2 linked regions of the Yarrowia lipolytica genome follow. The protein of the gene in region 1 binds, or shares a complex with, the protein of each later gene. Links are inferred from orthologs where the notes say so. Each region holds a gene or a part of one and is shown on either strand. Other genes may lie near its edges.

Region 1 (8,134 bases):
GTCAAGCGCATCGTCGAGCTAAGCAGGTAATATACGGCTCGTGCCTGTCTCTGATACAGAGCTCGTTCGTATGCGTCTTATACAGACATGCCGAGTAGCTGTGAGGAGGTGTTGAAATAAAGTGAACTGCTGAGAGCCAGGCACTATCATAAAAAACTCGCGACTACTACTTGCAGTACAAATACTCAAAAGTCTGTGTCCGTTATGATGAATCCAGTCACTATGCTACATCCACTAAACGCCGATCATCGAAGGGGTCACGGATGCAGTTTGCAATATACTTGTGCATTCAGACCCAGATACAAGTACAAGTACAGTAGTAATTGTTTTGGTATGAAGGATGTGGTTATCAGGTACCAGTTTCGTGGCAGGTCTCAATATCTTCTAAAGGTCCTTACGCGAGTAACACTGATGTGAAGGTATGTGAAAAGTATACCCTTACATCGGCAGTAGGCCTGCCATTAACCAGTCTGTCGTATCTCATATCATTTCCACGATCTATTTACATTAGTTTCTACTTTTGGAGTCACTAAATCGTTTGAGAGCAGCCAGGGCAATGACTCCCTCGATGTCCTCATTCAGAGCATCTACCGCTGCCTCCGCAACAACGTTGACACTGAGAGGAGGCTGGATGAACTGTGGAAGAGCAGGGAAGAAGGATCGAGCAACGGTCTGGGCGCCGAATCCGACCTTTAAAGCCTCGGCAAGAGCGTCTCGAGGTGTAGACTTGTGAATGCCAAATTGACGGTCCCCGGAAGACTCGTACATGAATGCGGGTCGCAGGAACACCGATCTGAGGTTGGTGAGGTCGGAGATTTCGGTCTCTGCCATTCGTTTGGAGGTGATATATCCATCGGGGATGAGATTGCTGGTCTTCTCGGCAGACACCATGACGTAGGGCTTTCTCTCGTCCATCGGAACAGTGTCGGCAAATGCTGTTGCCGTCAGAACTGCGCTCAATCTGTTCATTTTGTCGTAGGAAAAGTTTGGGTCCTTGGCCATAGGATTGGAGCCCTTGACGAGACCACACAGGGCGTCTTTAACTCCTCCGTTAAGTCCCTGCTTGTAGTTGCCGCCCTCCAGCAAGATTCCCATTGAGTGAATCACTGCCGACGCCTTCTCTAGCTCGTTGGTGTATGTAGAGGGCTCAAAGACGTCAGCTCGCTTCCATTGGACCTTGGACATCCAGCTCTCGGCGTTCTTGGGAGGTCCAGATCGAGAGATGGAAGTGACTGCCCATCCCTTGGAGAGGGCCTGCTTGCAAATGTGTCGTCCTGTGTTAGCAGCTGTGTGTGAGGTGTGTGTTGAGACTTGCTACTTACCAAGGAATCCGTTTCCGCCAAAGACAACGAGGTTTTTCGACATTATGTGCTGTGGTGGTAACACTCGATAATTTGTGATGATACGACAAGGTTCGGTGGTAAGGTTTGTGCTGCGTGTGTGATGCGGGTTGTTGAGGCGTTGACTGGATGTGGTGATGGTAGTGGGTATGTAGATACCGGTAGGTTGTGTACATGCTGTATTGGATGGCAGCTAATGGATGTTGGTGTGCTGATTATCCTTGGTATTGGCTACAGATACTGGTGCTGTGTTTTTATGGATAGCTTGGTCGGCTTAGCAACCGTATGGCAAAGTCGTCTCTCTTACACAAGCTAGGAAGGCTCCATATAGCCCCTTCAAGTGAAGTTGTCTGGGCGCGATTCCTCCTCAAGATACGCAGGCCAGGCACAAGTACTTGTACTTGTAGCTCCAACCTGCCCCAAAGGTAATATCCCAGGCCACAAAGCAGGTGCCACTTCCTCTCGTCAGTCCTTGCTATAACTCAAGTATTGTTCCACGCTCACATGTCCGTGGCTTACTAATTCAACAAACCTCCTCCTGGGTTCGACTCTCACCGGGGTACTATAAGTAGTATTATGAAGGCGCCTACAGGGGACCCCAACTGTCATGATATCATCGGATATCAAAAGATAGCCCATCGCCAAGAAAAGCAATCCGGGGAGAGATAGCCGATCGAGAAGTGTGGGGATAGACACAGTATCCTTGAGCCTTGCACCAAAACCCAACAAACTACTATATACGGCAACACTCCACCCCCTCCGGAATCCACCAATTTATTATTCCGGATGCTCTTGCCCCACCAAGTTCCAGTCCGTGATAGTACGCTTGGTAGAGAGGGTCCCACATGTACGAGTAGTGCACAACCGCATACAAAAGCTGCGATATTCCTGCACAGAAAAGTAGTGGCGGATATATATTGATTGATCAAATAACATGTGTGCACAGCCCCGCACTCTACGTGCTCGTATTCAGCCTCATAGAGTGTCACCACGTTGTCGCAACCAACCATCATCCACCTTAGCTCGGCCGAGTCACGTCATGTATTAGGGGCGCGCACCAATGTACACAAAGTTGCACTAACAAGAGCTTCTTGCGCGTTGCAGCTCTACGCCGCAAAGTGCCGTGCCGAACACAAAGACCTACTCAGCAGCTCCAAGGGCGCTCGGCCAACGATATAAATACACTCTCACCTCCGTATTCATGTTCCCTGCATTGCGGTTCTCACCATGGGCAATAGGCTTCATGTTTGAGACCCTCTCGCATAGAAGTGGCAAAGGTAGGCGAGCAAAGCGGAAGCAAGCAGGAACGCTGGAATTGGCAGTAAACACAGCGTAGCCCCGGCGTTCGAAGCGGCTGAACGACACAAAGCGACATGTAACATCATTGCGGTTATGCTCAGCCTCGCCCTCGTATCATCGGGTCTCTAAAGTGTCTCTTGGCTTTTCTCGGGTTTGGCTTCCGAGCAACTGCGTGTGTTTTGCCTGTATAGCGCTCCACCAAATTATTCCAAGAGTGTATCGGACAGCATTCTCTGGAAGTCTACGAAGCCAACTTGTACTCTTCCAATCTTCTTTTTATTACCTCGAAGCTATAAAAAATGACCTGATCCGCGGCAAGATCGGAGCCCAACCCTCATTCTAACTTGTCCATTCTTTTGCTTGTCCATGACCATTATTTAGCCCTTCAAGCTGCCTAAACGGTTTTTGGAGTTGAACTCTTGATCCGTTAACCTCAGCATTTAAATCTTTTTAAACGCGCATGAGATGTTGCTGCCGGAACACTTTAGGAATGGGACGTAGTAGGGGGCGTATCAGAGCCCCAGAAGAGAGATTTGAACACAGAACTGAATATAACAAGGCTCGAATAACCATCCGGTTACCCCATACATCGTTATAATCCCACTACTTCCTCCCACCGACACTCTTCGACCCCAGACATTAAAGCCTATACAAATTACAAAAGCCTACTCTGCAGACAGTAAACTCAGCCTAGCACGGCTCATGTATCTCTCAATGTAGATCTACCGTACAAGTGTACTTGATGGCCGCCTTCTCCACTCCCAACCTCCTTCGTCTCCATCGACACCAATGAAAATCTCAACGCTCATAGTCGTGGCAGCTCTCATTGGCCTGTGTTTGGCTGCTCCCCCCAGTGCAGAGGAGATGGGAATGACCCCAGACGAATGGTCCAACTGGGTGTACTCCCAGTATGGTGTCTACGGAATGCGACCCAGTCGAGCCGCCAATCTCGTGGGAATGATTCTCTTCATTATCCTGTGGGCTATCCAAGGAGCGCTGGCCTTGTACTACCGACAATGGTGGTTTGGAGGAGCCTTCTTCTGTGGCATCTGTCTGGAGTTTCTCGGATACCTGGGCCGATTCCTGTCCACCTGGGATCTCCAGAACTTGAACGAGTTCATTCTACAGATTGTCTGTCTGACTCTGGCACCTGCCTTCATAATGGCGGGTGTCTACTGTCTGCTGGCAAAGTTTGTCGTCATCTACGGAGAGAGCTACAGTCGGGTAGCTCCTCTGGTGTACACATTGATCTTCGTGGCCTGTGATTTGATTTCCATTGTCATCCAGGCTGTAGGAGGAGGTATTTCAGCCACTGCTCTCTACGACAACAAGTCTACCGACGACGGAACTCACATCATGGTCGCCGGTATGGCTTTTCAGGTCTTCACCATGTCAATTTTCTTTATCATGACCACTGACTTCTTGTGGCGAGTGCACAAGGGTATCCGTAACCCCAACGTCGCGGACTCTCGAGCCAATGACCCCGAAATCATTGCTATTCGAGAGTCGCCCAAGATGAAGTACTTTGTCATTGCTACATACATTGCCTTTGGCTTTGTCTTCACTCGGTCCGTCTACCGAGTCGTCGAGCTGGCTGAGGGCTGGTACGGCAATCTTCTTCAGCACGAGGCCTACCTGCTTGTGCTGGACGGTCTGATGATGCTCATTGCCATCACCATTCTGACCGTCTTCTACCCCGGCTTCGTCTGGGGCCGAACCCACATCAACGCCGGAGCTGTCAAGCATAGCAAGAGCGAAAAAAACGAGTTCCAGGACGTTCAGCAGGAACATTACCCCGAACAGCAAGAATACCCGGAACAGCGAGACGATGGGTCTTACGGAAAGGAGACCGAAAGCAGTGTTTAGAAGTCATATATAATGTATTATTTTGTTTTGAGCTACGAGAATCTAAGGCATGGGAGGCTACCCTAAGGCCCAGATGTTTGAGACATAGGACACTGAGACCAGACATTGTGAGACAGTACTAAATAGGTACTCGTGCAAGCACACATGCAAGTTCGAGACGGTACAATGTAGATACTTGTACGAGTACTCATTATGATGACACTCACAAGATGCTAGTATCCAGATCTAGACTGATGCACCCTCCGAAGCCGAATAAACAAGTTGACACTAGTAGCCAAGACTACAATAGTGCATGTAGCATCGTTGGATAGAGAAGAGTTCCTTGGGGAAGTGCTGTATTTATGAGTAAAACTAGGGATCGTATAACCATGACAAAATTACTGAGCAAATATCTCAAATCTGTCACCGACTCTCACTTTTCAAATTTATCGCCTTTAACGAACATGAACCCACATGTTTTTCCACCGAAATGCATCCTAACATACACTAAAACACAATGTCACAAGGACTTTTGCCAGACCTTTGGAAACCGCTCAAACAACTGAAAACATGCTTAACCACGATATTTGGACTCAGATTTTCTCTTTGGTCGACTTTCGCACCGCGCTGAACCTCAGATACTCGTGCAGAGAGCTCTTTCATCTGAGCAACGAACTGTCCGATGCAGTTTGGGCTCTATACCTGAAAGATATCGGGGGAGAGTTCTGTGAGAAGGCCAAAAACAGCGTCATTCGACTCAACAGACCTCTGGTTTTCACCACAGGACCTTTGACCAAGTGCAGTCAGAAGGCAGGTCCTCCTAGTCCGAAGGCTGGGTTCCTCAAACACCTCGTATACATACAAGGAGACGGTAAGATCGGGTATGTGGTGAACTATCGGGAATGGAGTGTTAAAGCGGTGGAAACTGAAGGAGGAACTGATACTACGTCCTGGTACTGTTTCTCTGAATTCAACAAGGAGTTTGAGTCCATCGCCCTAGAAGAAAACAGCGTGGTGTGGCAGAAACGACAGGGACCAGATTTGAGAGTCCAGATACCTATGAAATACCAAAACACAAGACACAAGCATCTCTTTAGAGCCTCGAATCCAAACCAGACCTTTGTCTATCTCCATAGATACTGGGAAGACTCAGAGGAAACAGACAAACAAGACTTTCTTAGTGACATACTGTTTGTGAACTGGAAGGAGAGGAGAATGAACTTGTTGGAAGGATGTATAACTATGGCTTCCGCCAACAGTGTCAATTGCGTCCTTATAAATGGACTGCTATTCTTCAAGGGACCTAACTACACTCTTCAAGTGAAGAACATGCTTACTGGAGAACATCATCAGGTGAGTCCCAATGGGGTGGAAATCGGTTACCATGATGATAGATACGTGTGCTACAACACTCTGGAAACAACACATGTGATAGATACACTCACTCTGTTAATCTACCCTCTGACTAATGTGCTATTCGACTTTCGCAGTGGAATTCAGCATATTGAAGGCCAGTTTATAAGCTGGTTGCACCCTGTAGTTGGTTCAGGCACCTTAAATCTCAAACCAGGCCAAGTCATGAACCTCAGTGACGTGTGACCGGGGTTAAGTACATTCACATCAACCTACATACAAGTATACTGCATACACCTTAACGTCTATATCAATAATACATTAAATACATACTTAACCAATATGTTTGTCTTGGCCAGTCGTTTGTGGGCTTGGAAGATAATCGCTTATTTGATGTTAACGACCTTAACATCGAAAGTAAGCTGGGAGTTGGGGGGGATACCGGGCAGCTTCTGCTTACCGTAGGCCATTCCAGGGGGGATAATGATTCGTCGCTCACCCTTGACCTTCATACCCTGGACACCAATGTCCCATCCTCGGATGACCTCGCCCTTACCGACAGAGAAGTAGAAAGGCTTACCCTTGGAGTTGGAGTCAAAGACCTTACCGTTGGCGAGCTTGCCAACGTATCGGACACCGACCTTGGAGCCGACCTTGGCGGAAGGACCCTCACCGACGGTTCGGTCCTCAATCTTGACACCACCCTCAAGCTGTCGGGTGACAAGCTTGGGCTTGGGCTCGGAGGGAGTGGGGCCCTGCTCGAGGTTCTTGGTGAAGGCAACCTTGGCCTTCTTGGCGGCCTTCTCCTGCTTCTTCTCCTCGGCGGCTCGCTTGAGGATCTTCTTAGGCTCGACAACGGGCTCTTCCTCCTCATCCTCATCGTCCTCATCGTCCTCGTCGTCCTGCTCCATGAGCTCGACAAGTCGCTCGTCACCGTTGATGACCTCATCCTCATCGGGAGAGAGATCGTACTCGCCTTCGTCGAGCTCGTCCTCATCATCCTCGTCGTCCTCACCGAGAGCAAGGAGCTCATCCTCGTCCTCCATGTCGTAGGGGTGCTCAATGTAGTTACCGGAGAGGTGGATGGCGTAGGAGCCAGTGACCTCGAACATGATCTGCTCACCGGGGGTGATAACGAGATCAAGAGTCTGCTGGTATCCAAACTTGGGGGAGAGAGTGCAGACAACAAAGTCCTCAATCTCACCCTCGTCGTCGTCGTCCTCATCGTCCTCCTCGAACTCCATCTCGTCGTCCTCGTCGTCATCCTCATCGTCGTCTCCTCCCTCAACCTCATCGAGACCGTCCTCGTTGGCGGCGATCAGCTTCTTGATCTGAGCCATGTCCTCAGCAGAGACTTCGTCATCCTCATCGTCGTCATCCTCGTCCTCGTCATCCTCGTCGTCCTCATCGTCGAAGTTGTCGGCAGGCTTAAGGATTCGGAGAGTGGCGGGCTCCTCCTCATCACCCTCAATTCGGGCGGGATCAATGGCAGCCATGGTGATTCGCACAGAAACAGGGAAGTCCTGCTCAATGGGGGCCACGGGAATTCCGGGGAACACGGCCAGGGTGTAGGAGGCCAGGGGAAGGCAGTTGTTGGCGTTGTTAGACATGGTTGTTGTGTGTGATAGATACAAAAGTGCAGACCCAAGTATTTAAAATGGGCAAATTTTTGGAATAAGGTTGCATATGCACTAAGAGCTTAACGGGAGTGCTGTACATTTGGCTGGAGCTCGTGGAAGACGGTGAAACCGTTATTGTGGCAATGGTGGGATCTATCGAGGTAATTGGTAGGACACATGCACCAACATACGTGTATATGACATGTAGAACCGTCCACTGCTGTTAGGCGATATGTCGTCTTTCGCAGCCCATCAAGGCACTCTCAAACCCAATCCATGGAAAATAAACGTGGGACTATTTGGACTTGGGACTTGGTGCTTGCAATCGTTGTTGGTTGTGTCGTCACGTAACATTTATAGCAACTTAGGGACATCTGGCAGAGAAGGCTGCTTGGTCCAGTAGTGTGGTAGCCTTGAATTGGTCATGTGAGATTGTGATTGGTCTGCATTGGTCGCCCCCATCTCGAGCAATGGCTTTTTTCGTTCCCATGGAACTCTTTGGAACAGCAACACCATACACATTATTCATGTAAGGCGTGCAGGATAAGGTGGCGGCGAGGTGAGGCAGAGATGGGAATGGATATTTGTCACATGTATAGGGGTTGGACTATGGCGGGTCACTATAGAATGTGTAACTGTACTTCTTCTCAGTCCATATAGCCATTTTTGGTCTTGTTA
Region 2 (8,016 bases), about 1.4 Mb from region 1:
AATAGAAGTTTGTGAAATAATATACCAAAATACCAAACACCAAGCTCGGAACTTAGATGATCGTCAAAATATTCAACCGTCGTAGAATCTCGAAAAACAATAATGATCCGTCCGTTCAGATTAAAGTTGGAACTGCGCCTCCACACGGCACTTGAATTGGTCACCTCAACATCATTAGTGGTATGATAGAAAGATGGCGGTGATGCTGAAGCTGGCGGTTGCCTCTACCAAGTCGGGTTTTGTTTTCTGTGATCTAATATAATTGCGCAAAGATGCGGTATCCCTTCGTGGTTTCACCACTTATAAGCCTACAGTGTGCACACATCTGCAGTGTTAAACCATGCCAGTCCGGGGGGGTTCTAAGCAGATACAACTTTGATCACCAGAAGGGTGCGTGAGCAGCTGCGCAAGACACCCGACACTCACAACCCAGACTTTACAGCTGCTAACCACACGTTGACCGCCACAACCAGGATCCGTTGACGACACAAATTAAGGGCAAATTCGACAAAACTAGCATAATCGCATTGCTATAAAAGACACGGTTTCACCATGGGAAAAGCAGCATCGAAACTGTCTAAGGACGAGCTCACTGAGCTCAAGAAAGCAACCTACTTCGACCGAAAGGAACTGCAGCAATGGTACAAGGGCTTTCTCAAGGATTGCCCGTCTGGCCAGCTGAACAAGGAAGAGTTCCAAAAGATCTATCGACAATTCTTCCCATTCGGCGACCCTTCCATGTTCAGTGAATACGTCTTCAACGTTTTTGACAAAGACAAGAGCGGAACGGTGGATTACAAGGAATTCATCTGTGCGATCAGTGTAACCTCGCGTGGAACCCTTGAGGAGAAGCTAGAATGGGCCTTCCAGTTGTACGACATCAACGGCGATGGTAAGATCAGCTACGATGAAATGCTTGCCATTGTCACGGCCATCTACAAGATGGTTGGCTCAATGGTCAAACTACCTGAGGATGAAAGTACACCCGAGAAGCGAGTGGACAAGATTTTCCGTCAAATGGACAAGGATCGAAATGGTGAGCTGACTCTGGAAGAATTCCGAGAGGGATCCAAGGTTGATCCCACCATCGTCAGTGCTCTTAATTTATATGACGGACTTGTCTAACGAGGTCCTTGATTGTCGTCCACAACCTATGTATCCAATATACCTTCATATTTTGTTTCATTCAGCTTATTAAATGTTATAGGAAGCATGGTTCCTTTTAATACTGTTATCTCTTTGTAGGTCACACACGGATAGTTAGCTACAGTATGCTCTATTTACCCAAAACGCCAGGCAGAGGCTCGCTACCAACGCTCATCATGAGCTTGATACCGAGAGTAATGGTAATCAGAGCGACAACTGCAGTCCAGAAGAAAAGCTGGAACTGGACGCTCACGTCCTGCTTCTGGCACAACTTTCCTCCTCGGCCAGTCTTGCACTTGCATGTGTAGGCAGACTCGCCACGGCCCTTGGAGCAAGCACCATGGCCTGAGCAGTTATTTGTCTTCTCGTTGCACTCATCCTCAGAGCCAAATCTGGCAATACCAATAGCCTGCTTCTTCTTGGAGGCTGCTAGGCGGCCACGTTTCTCCTTGTTTGTAGCTCGGAGGCATGAGGGGGCGTACACGACGGTGACAGGATTCTTTTCGTCGGCGTTAGAAATCAGCTCTTCAATATGGCTTGACGAAGACGACATTATGAGGGAAGCCTTGGCAGCTCCATGCTTTTGTTCCAGTCGGTGACTCAGTTTCTGAATAGCGCCCATATCGATGGCGGACTCAATTGCGTAAAGAGCCCCAGAGTCGTCGTTAGCATGATCAGAGAATAAAACGGTATGGGAGTCCACAGGGCCCAATCCCATCTGAGGAAGAGCGAAAAAGAACTGCTCCTTCTCGGCCAACTGGTTGCCGTTGAGACCACTAGACAGACCCAGGGTGTCAGCCAACACGAGGTGGGCCTCAGCTCCATTAATGGACTGTTGAGCAGCACCCGTCTGGGGGTATGTAGCAATGTAACCCATGCATTCGGATGAGGCAATAGCGGTGGCGGACAGCGCCGACAGCAAGGCGAAAAACTTCATGGTTGTGGTGTCTCGTCGACTGTGCTACTGCTGTTGTCAACGCACACGAAGCATGAACCCTCGATTTAAAGTTTGATGGGAGGTTGTTTTATTGGTACGAGTACAAGCGTGTTAACTATAGAAGTACAGTAACAGGTAACACACAGTGATCGACAGCTACAGCATGACTTCTTGTACGATGACTTACGGTCCTGACATACCTGGGGAGGTTCTACAACGGCGCCAGAAGAGAATTCAGCAAGCTGCCAGTGCCCTTGAAGTGGTCCAGGCTGGACCGCAACTGTCCGAAGAGGCAGACTCATCAGACGACGATGACTTCGGTCCATCACTAACAGGTAACCCCAACATCAGCGAGACAGAGGCTCTCAATAGGTTAGAGGAGAGGAGCAGAAGCAAGACATGGGTGAATATGGACCCTGCTCACAATCCCAACCGGGATGGGTGGATGCAAAATGTCCCTGCGGAACTCTCAGGGACTTTTTCGAGTGAGTCGGCGCAGGATCGTGCTAAGGAGATGATGGGGTTTAAAAAATAGTTCACCTTCCACTCGTACATTCGTTAATACATATTTATATACAGATGCTTAAACTCGCTCGGCGACCCAAATGGCTCCTCGACATCCTGCTTTGATGGTTTCCGTGAGAAGCCAGTAAGGTCTGGCTTCATGCGAGTCGTTTTCCACAGCAATCTCGAGATGCTCCAGCTCCTCGTCACGGAATTGCTTAACAATGCTTTTCAAAGAGGTGATCTCTTCGTCCTTGGACCGCTCTTCCTTGGGAGGGAAGTTTTCGTGTAACCATCGCAACTGAGTGTTGTAGTGTCCACCAATAACAGTTTCTACGGCTTCAGTGCAAGCCATGGCACCTTCTTGACCAAGAAGGGCCGTGGCACAGCCTAGACCAGTTGCTGCAACCTTCCAGATCGGGGTAAGCAGAGACGGCCGGACTCTGTATTTCTGTTGAAGCTCGTTGAAAGTTCGTCTGTGGTGCTGCTCTTGCTCCCACATGTGCTTGATGAGAGGCTCGATCTCAGGCTTGGTTCGGCTGAGAACCATGTACTGACCTCGGTAAATAAGGTCCGCACCAAGTTCTCCAGCCTGGTCGACACGGATGAGTTTGGTAATAAACGAGGCCTCTGCCTTACTGAGTGCGTGTCGGGCCATGTCTGTTTGGAGGACTGAGAGAAGATGCGTAAGGTGGTGAAGTTAACTTTTGTCGGCTCATGTCCAAATTCATTCATCCCAAGTCCGCACTCTGCTGCGACGCAGGTGTAAGACTCGAACAGGATGTCGGACGCTGCACATGATAGAAGTCCCCAAATTGAAATCGCACATACATCACCAGGATCGTAGGCTGCTCTCTACATATCCCCACCTCAATTGTCAAGACACGGGGACACCCTCAATGACTCGGAACTCACTTGCTGCCGATGAAAACTAATCTGTACTCAAATGCCACCTCATATGATAACGAACCTTAACTGTGTGATCTGAGTAAGCAACTCGGCTTACAGTAGATGGGAAGCATAGAGCCAGAAGACGAAGAGGGTGAATAGAAAACATAGTAAAAGGGCTACGAGAACCAAATTATTATCGAAAAAAACAAGCTTATCTATATTACCAGTCGTCTCCTCCACCATAATCATCAGCGCCTCCCGAATACATATCGCCGTCGTTGTTGTTACTGTTGTCGTCATAATAGTTGTTCACAACCGTGTCACCGCCATCATGGTGGCCACTCATCATGTCTCCAATAAGCATACCACCAAGAAGACCACCACCAACACCCATGGCGGTAGTTCCCCAATTTCGTCTGTGAGGTTGCTGCTGCTGCATCTGCATAGGCGGGGGCTGGGCATACATAGGTGGAGGCGGGGGTTGTTGGTACATGGGCTGGGGGGCCAATAACCAGGTCCAGGGCCATAACCAGGTCCAGGGCCACCGTATCCGGGGCCCGGCCCTCCGCCATATCCGGGGCCCGGTCCTCCACCATAACCTCCGCCACCGTGGGGACCGCCGAAGCCACCAGGGCCAGGTCCCCCGCCGTATCCTTGAGGGCCTGAACCACCACCACCATATCCACGCTGCTCCTGGTGAGGTCTGTTGTTGTTGCTGTTGCTGTGGCTACTTCCCCGAGAAGGAGGCCGGTCGTATGATGGCGGACTGTGGCCACCGGAGCCGCTAGGCTTGTCCCACTGTGATTTTCCGTTGGAGAGGTCGACATAGTAAAAAGTCTTGTAGTTGGGGTCCCATTTGGCTAACCAGCCATCGGGGACGCTGGGGGGAGTTGGCTCGTTTGGCATGTCGTTGCTGAGGCCTGGGCTGGACTGAAGATGCCGTGTTACAGCTAGCTACGTTTCGATCGCTGCACTTCGTGGTCAGACTTTATTGGGATTTGAGATTTGGGTATGGGTAGTTTTGGCCAAGTTTACTACTGCACTACACACAGGGTAATTAGGAGGCTGTGTCAAATGTGACCGGAGGCTGTGTATGACTGATCCTTCACGTGCGACCTTACAAGCAATGAATACGGTGAAGGAATAAACTCGTCGCGCACTATTATATGCCTCTACGAGCGATATCATGATATTTAGATTTGTAATACGCGCCTTTGCTCCGGGGAACTGCACAACCTCTCAACAAGATTATGGTGGTACAGTATCGTAGACAGTAAGTATGTACAACCCCACCTGTCACCCCGAACATAAAAGTACCATACAAGTGTGATTGAATAGCGCCGTTGTATTTTCTTGTGGGTTAGACACAACTCGACATATACTACAGGTAGGTGATTAAATCTATGCACTTATATACAGGCTTTCTCAAAGATGAAATTTCTTCCCAGTGGAAGCAAATGCTTCGGAGGTTTCGGTCTCCAGAAGCTCTGTTAGGGTGGTGCCGTCACGCAGATAAACCCATTCACCGTCGACATAGTCATAACGCTTGGGGCCGGAAATGGGGGAACTTAGCCAAATCTGTTTGTTCGGGGGTTGTTTGTTGATAACGTAGGATCCAGCACCAGGGATTTCCAAGCTCATCACGCCTTGAGCTAGATCCACATCCAGCTCATTTGAATCGACCTCCTCAGCGTATTCTTCATAAGCAATCAAGATAGACTCCAAATATTCATCCGCTTGAATGTGGTAATCCTCTAATTCCAGCTCGGTCGCCTGGAGAGAATATAGTCGGAGCGTTTCATGATGTGTAGTGATGTGTGGCAAAGTAACTGTTCTTGTCGCACGTCGCACGCCAGTGGTGAGGGGTCTGCGAAGAGGTAGAGAGGCCACTCCTGTGGCTACTCTTGTGGCCAGTGCGATTCGGGGCACTGTTCTTAGCGATCTTATCAAACTCATGGCTTTCTGAAGGATCGTGGTGAAGGACGATGCCTGGGAGTAAAGTTCGCCTCAATTCATGCAAGATCACCAGATCGCTCTTTTCTCCCCACGAATCCGAGTAATCAAATTATGATGGCCGCCCACTCTTCCACGGTACAATTAAATGTTACGGAGCCATATAAAATGAATTCATAAGATGTATGCGGCAACCTAAACTTGGCTGAATGATACTTATTTTCTATTTTGCCACCATATTCTGAAGTATTTACTGTCCTTTTGAGGGGTCTGTCGGCGGTTCAAAAGCCCGATTGGTTGGAATTAAAAATGTCTGTACAAGTACGATATATTATTGTACGATACAAGGACATACTACGATAGTACAGTAAGAACTACTTGTAGTGCTTCTACTCGTACTTATACTTGTGCGATACATTAGCTACAATCAATATACTTGTGATGTCGCATGCCCGCAAGCGAAGATTACTCGTTGCTAACTACACGTGAGATACATTTGGAAGACTGCCCAACGCTGTTATACTTTGAGTTGGTCGTAAACAGAGTTTCATGCGTGCAGGAATTTGCGATGTAGCAACACCATCTGGGTGGGCTAACAGCTGGTATTTAGGCTGTTGTTTCCTCAGATGAGCAATAGACAAATACGATATTACATTTCCAAAAGATTCACAGGATACGAGACTTTAAAACATTTCATTTTCTCTGCTTTTCGGCGGTTGTGTAAGATTTCCAATTTCGGTGAGTAGTGCTTGTCAACAAACAGTCTGACCCCTTCGGCGCATGAGAGACTTCAATAGAAAGGGTAAAACCGAAGTTGGAAACATACCACACACCAAACCCACACACAATACACAACAGGCACAGGCGACAACGTCGAAACAAGACAACTCACGATAAGCCGTGCAAAAAAACTGGCAGAAGAGACACGTTCAAGACACTAGAGCCTTTCCTGGTCCCAGAGCAACCCCTGTTGTCCCTGGTGATTCATTTTGAAGGAAGACCACTGCAGTCAACTGATACACGACACCCACTTCGCGCCACCACCACAGCATATTCTCTACTCGTCGAGCCCCAACTGATAAGCGGTAGTTTACCTTTCAATAGTTGCCGCTGCAAACGCTCGCTCTCGGTAACACGGACATATACACCACCACCCCGCACCCTCTGCTCAACTCACAACAAAAGCAGCCTCAAACTACGATACAAAAATGCATACCGTCTCCATCGTCAGGAAGGACCCAAAATCTAGCAACGCTAACTATCCGCTGCGGGGTACAGATACTCCAGACTATCTCTCGCAGTTTCACTTTGACGTCAATGGCAACGAGCTCCAGTTCGTCGAACTTGGGGGTGAACAGACGTCCACCTCTGCCAGTCTCGAGAATGGAACTCTTGGAGCTGCCTCTGATAACGCAACATCCCGTGCTACGGAACTCAGCAAAAAGCGCCAGGCGTCTTGCAGCCTGCCACGCCAGAAGAAGGTACCCCGAAATGACTTGGAAATTGAGCAGACCGACGAGCAGCAAACATCCGCATCAAACGTCGCCATGCCTTCGCCTCCCCCGGCTCGAGAAGAAGAAGAAGAGCAACAGCATCTTACCATTCCTCATGCCAACCTACGGGACGAAATCCCTCAGCTCCTCGACAACTTCGACGATCTACCAGCCCCTGTCAAGAACTACGTGATGTTCCAGCTTCTACGTCGATGCAACAGACGGAACCTGTCGATGGTAGCCGATATTGTCGTCCCTGCCTTGCGCTGCGATTTGCTGTCCATCTTTCCTTTGGAACTCGCCACAAAGGTTTTGTCCCACCTCGACTACAAGACTCTTTGTGCCGCATCACAGGTTTCAAAAAGCTGGAACTCCATTGTTGAAAGCTTGGGCGCAATCTGGAAGGGTCTTTCAGAGAGCCACCAGGCGCCCGTTACCGATGCTGACGTTGCCAGAGCTACCGAGCAAAAGTGGGACTATACCACGTGGGGGTCCGAGGACACCGATCCTAGCATTGTCGAATCCACTCCTCTGTACAGCAAGATCAACCTGTACAAGAGCATATACCGTCGAAGACATCTTATTCGTCGCAACTGGATGGATCCCAACTCCACACCTGACTCCACATGCATCCGAACTGGACGGGAGGCAGTCATTACTTGTCTCCAGTTTGATGATGACATCATTGTCACTGCCAGCGAAGACCCTTGGATCAACGTCTACGACACTAAAACTGGCCGTCAACGAAGTCGACTCGAAGGTCACACTGGAGGAGTGTGGGCTCTGCAGTACGTTGGTGATACATTGGTCAGTGGAAGTATTGACAGAACTGTTAGAATTTGGAACATCAAAGAAGCACGATGCACCCACATTTTTACAGGTCACGTCTCTACGGTGCGGTCACTAAGCATCCTGACTCCTGTGCCAATGAGCCATGCAATGTGTGCTACTGCACGAACGGAGAGCACCGACCCCGATGAGATGTATCCTTCTCGACCTCTCATTGTTACTGGATCTCGGGACAAGACACTGAGAGTCTGGAAGCTTCCTCTTCCAGGCGAGCCTGAATGGCTGGATCAGTCCACTCAGGAT

Evidence for each region.
Region 2: YALI1_E32754g (region 1) and YALI1_E18269g share a complex: the UniProt entries of both Saccharomyces cerevisiae proteins name them as parts of the multi-subunit COQ enzyme complex. The link is inferred for Yarrowia lipolytica from reciprocal best matches to the Saccharomyces cerevisiae genes COQ11 and CAT5.

What each region holds. Positions count from the first base shown.
Region 1 is NC_090774.1:3,274,154-3,282,287, forward strand, and holds YALI1_E32754g (uncharacterized protein), read right to left. Parts: upstream 1,366-8,134; coding exon 1,323-1,365; intron 1,275-1,322; coding exon 508-1,274; downstream 1-507. Other genes in the region: YALI1_E32776g (uncharacterized protein), read left to right, coding at 3,429-4,505; YALI1_E32792g (uncharacterized protein), read left to right, coding at 5,055-6,083; YALI1_E32816g (uncharacterized protein), read right to left, coding at 6,224-7,447. UniProt on the Saccharomyces cerevisiae protein: Component of MIOREX complexes, large expressome-like assemblies of ribosomes with factors involved in all the steps of post-transcriptional gene expression. Component of a multi-subunit COQ enzyme complex required for coenzyme Q biosynthesis.
Region 2 is NC_090774.1:1,823,716-1,831,731, forward strand, and holds YALI1_E18269g (uncharacterized protein), read right to left. Parts: upstream 3,246-8,016; coding exon 2,667-3,245; downstream 1-2,666. Other genes in the region: YALI1_E18242g (uncharacterized protein), read left to right, coding at 553-1,125; YALI1_E18258g (uncharacterized protein), read right to left, coding at 1,277-2,083; YALI1_E18281g (uncharacterized protein), read right to left, coding at 3,824-4,384; YALI1_E18291g (uncharacterized protein), read right to left, coding at 4,904-5,434; YALI1_E18303g (uncharacterized protein), read left to right, coding at 6,640-8,016. UniProt on the Saccharomyces cerevisiae protein: Catalyzes the hydroxylation of 2-hexaprenyl-3-methyl-6-methoxy-1,4-benzoquinol (DMQH2) during ubiquinone biosynthesis.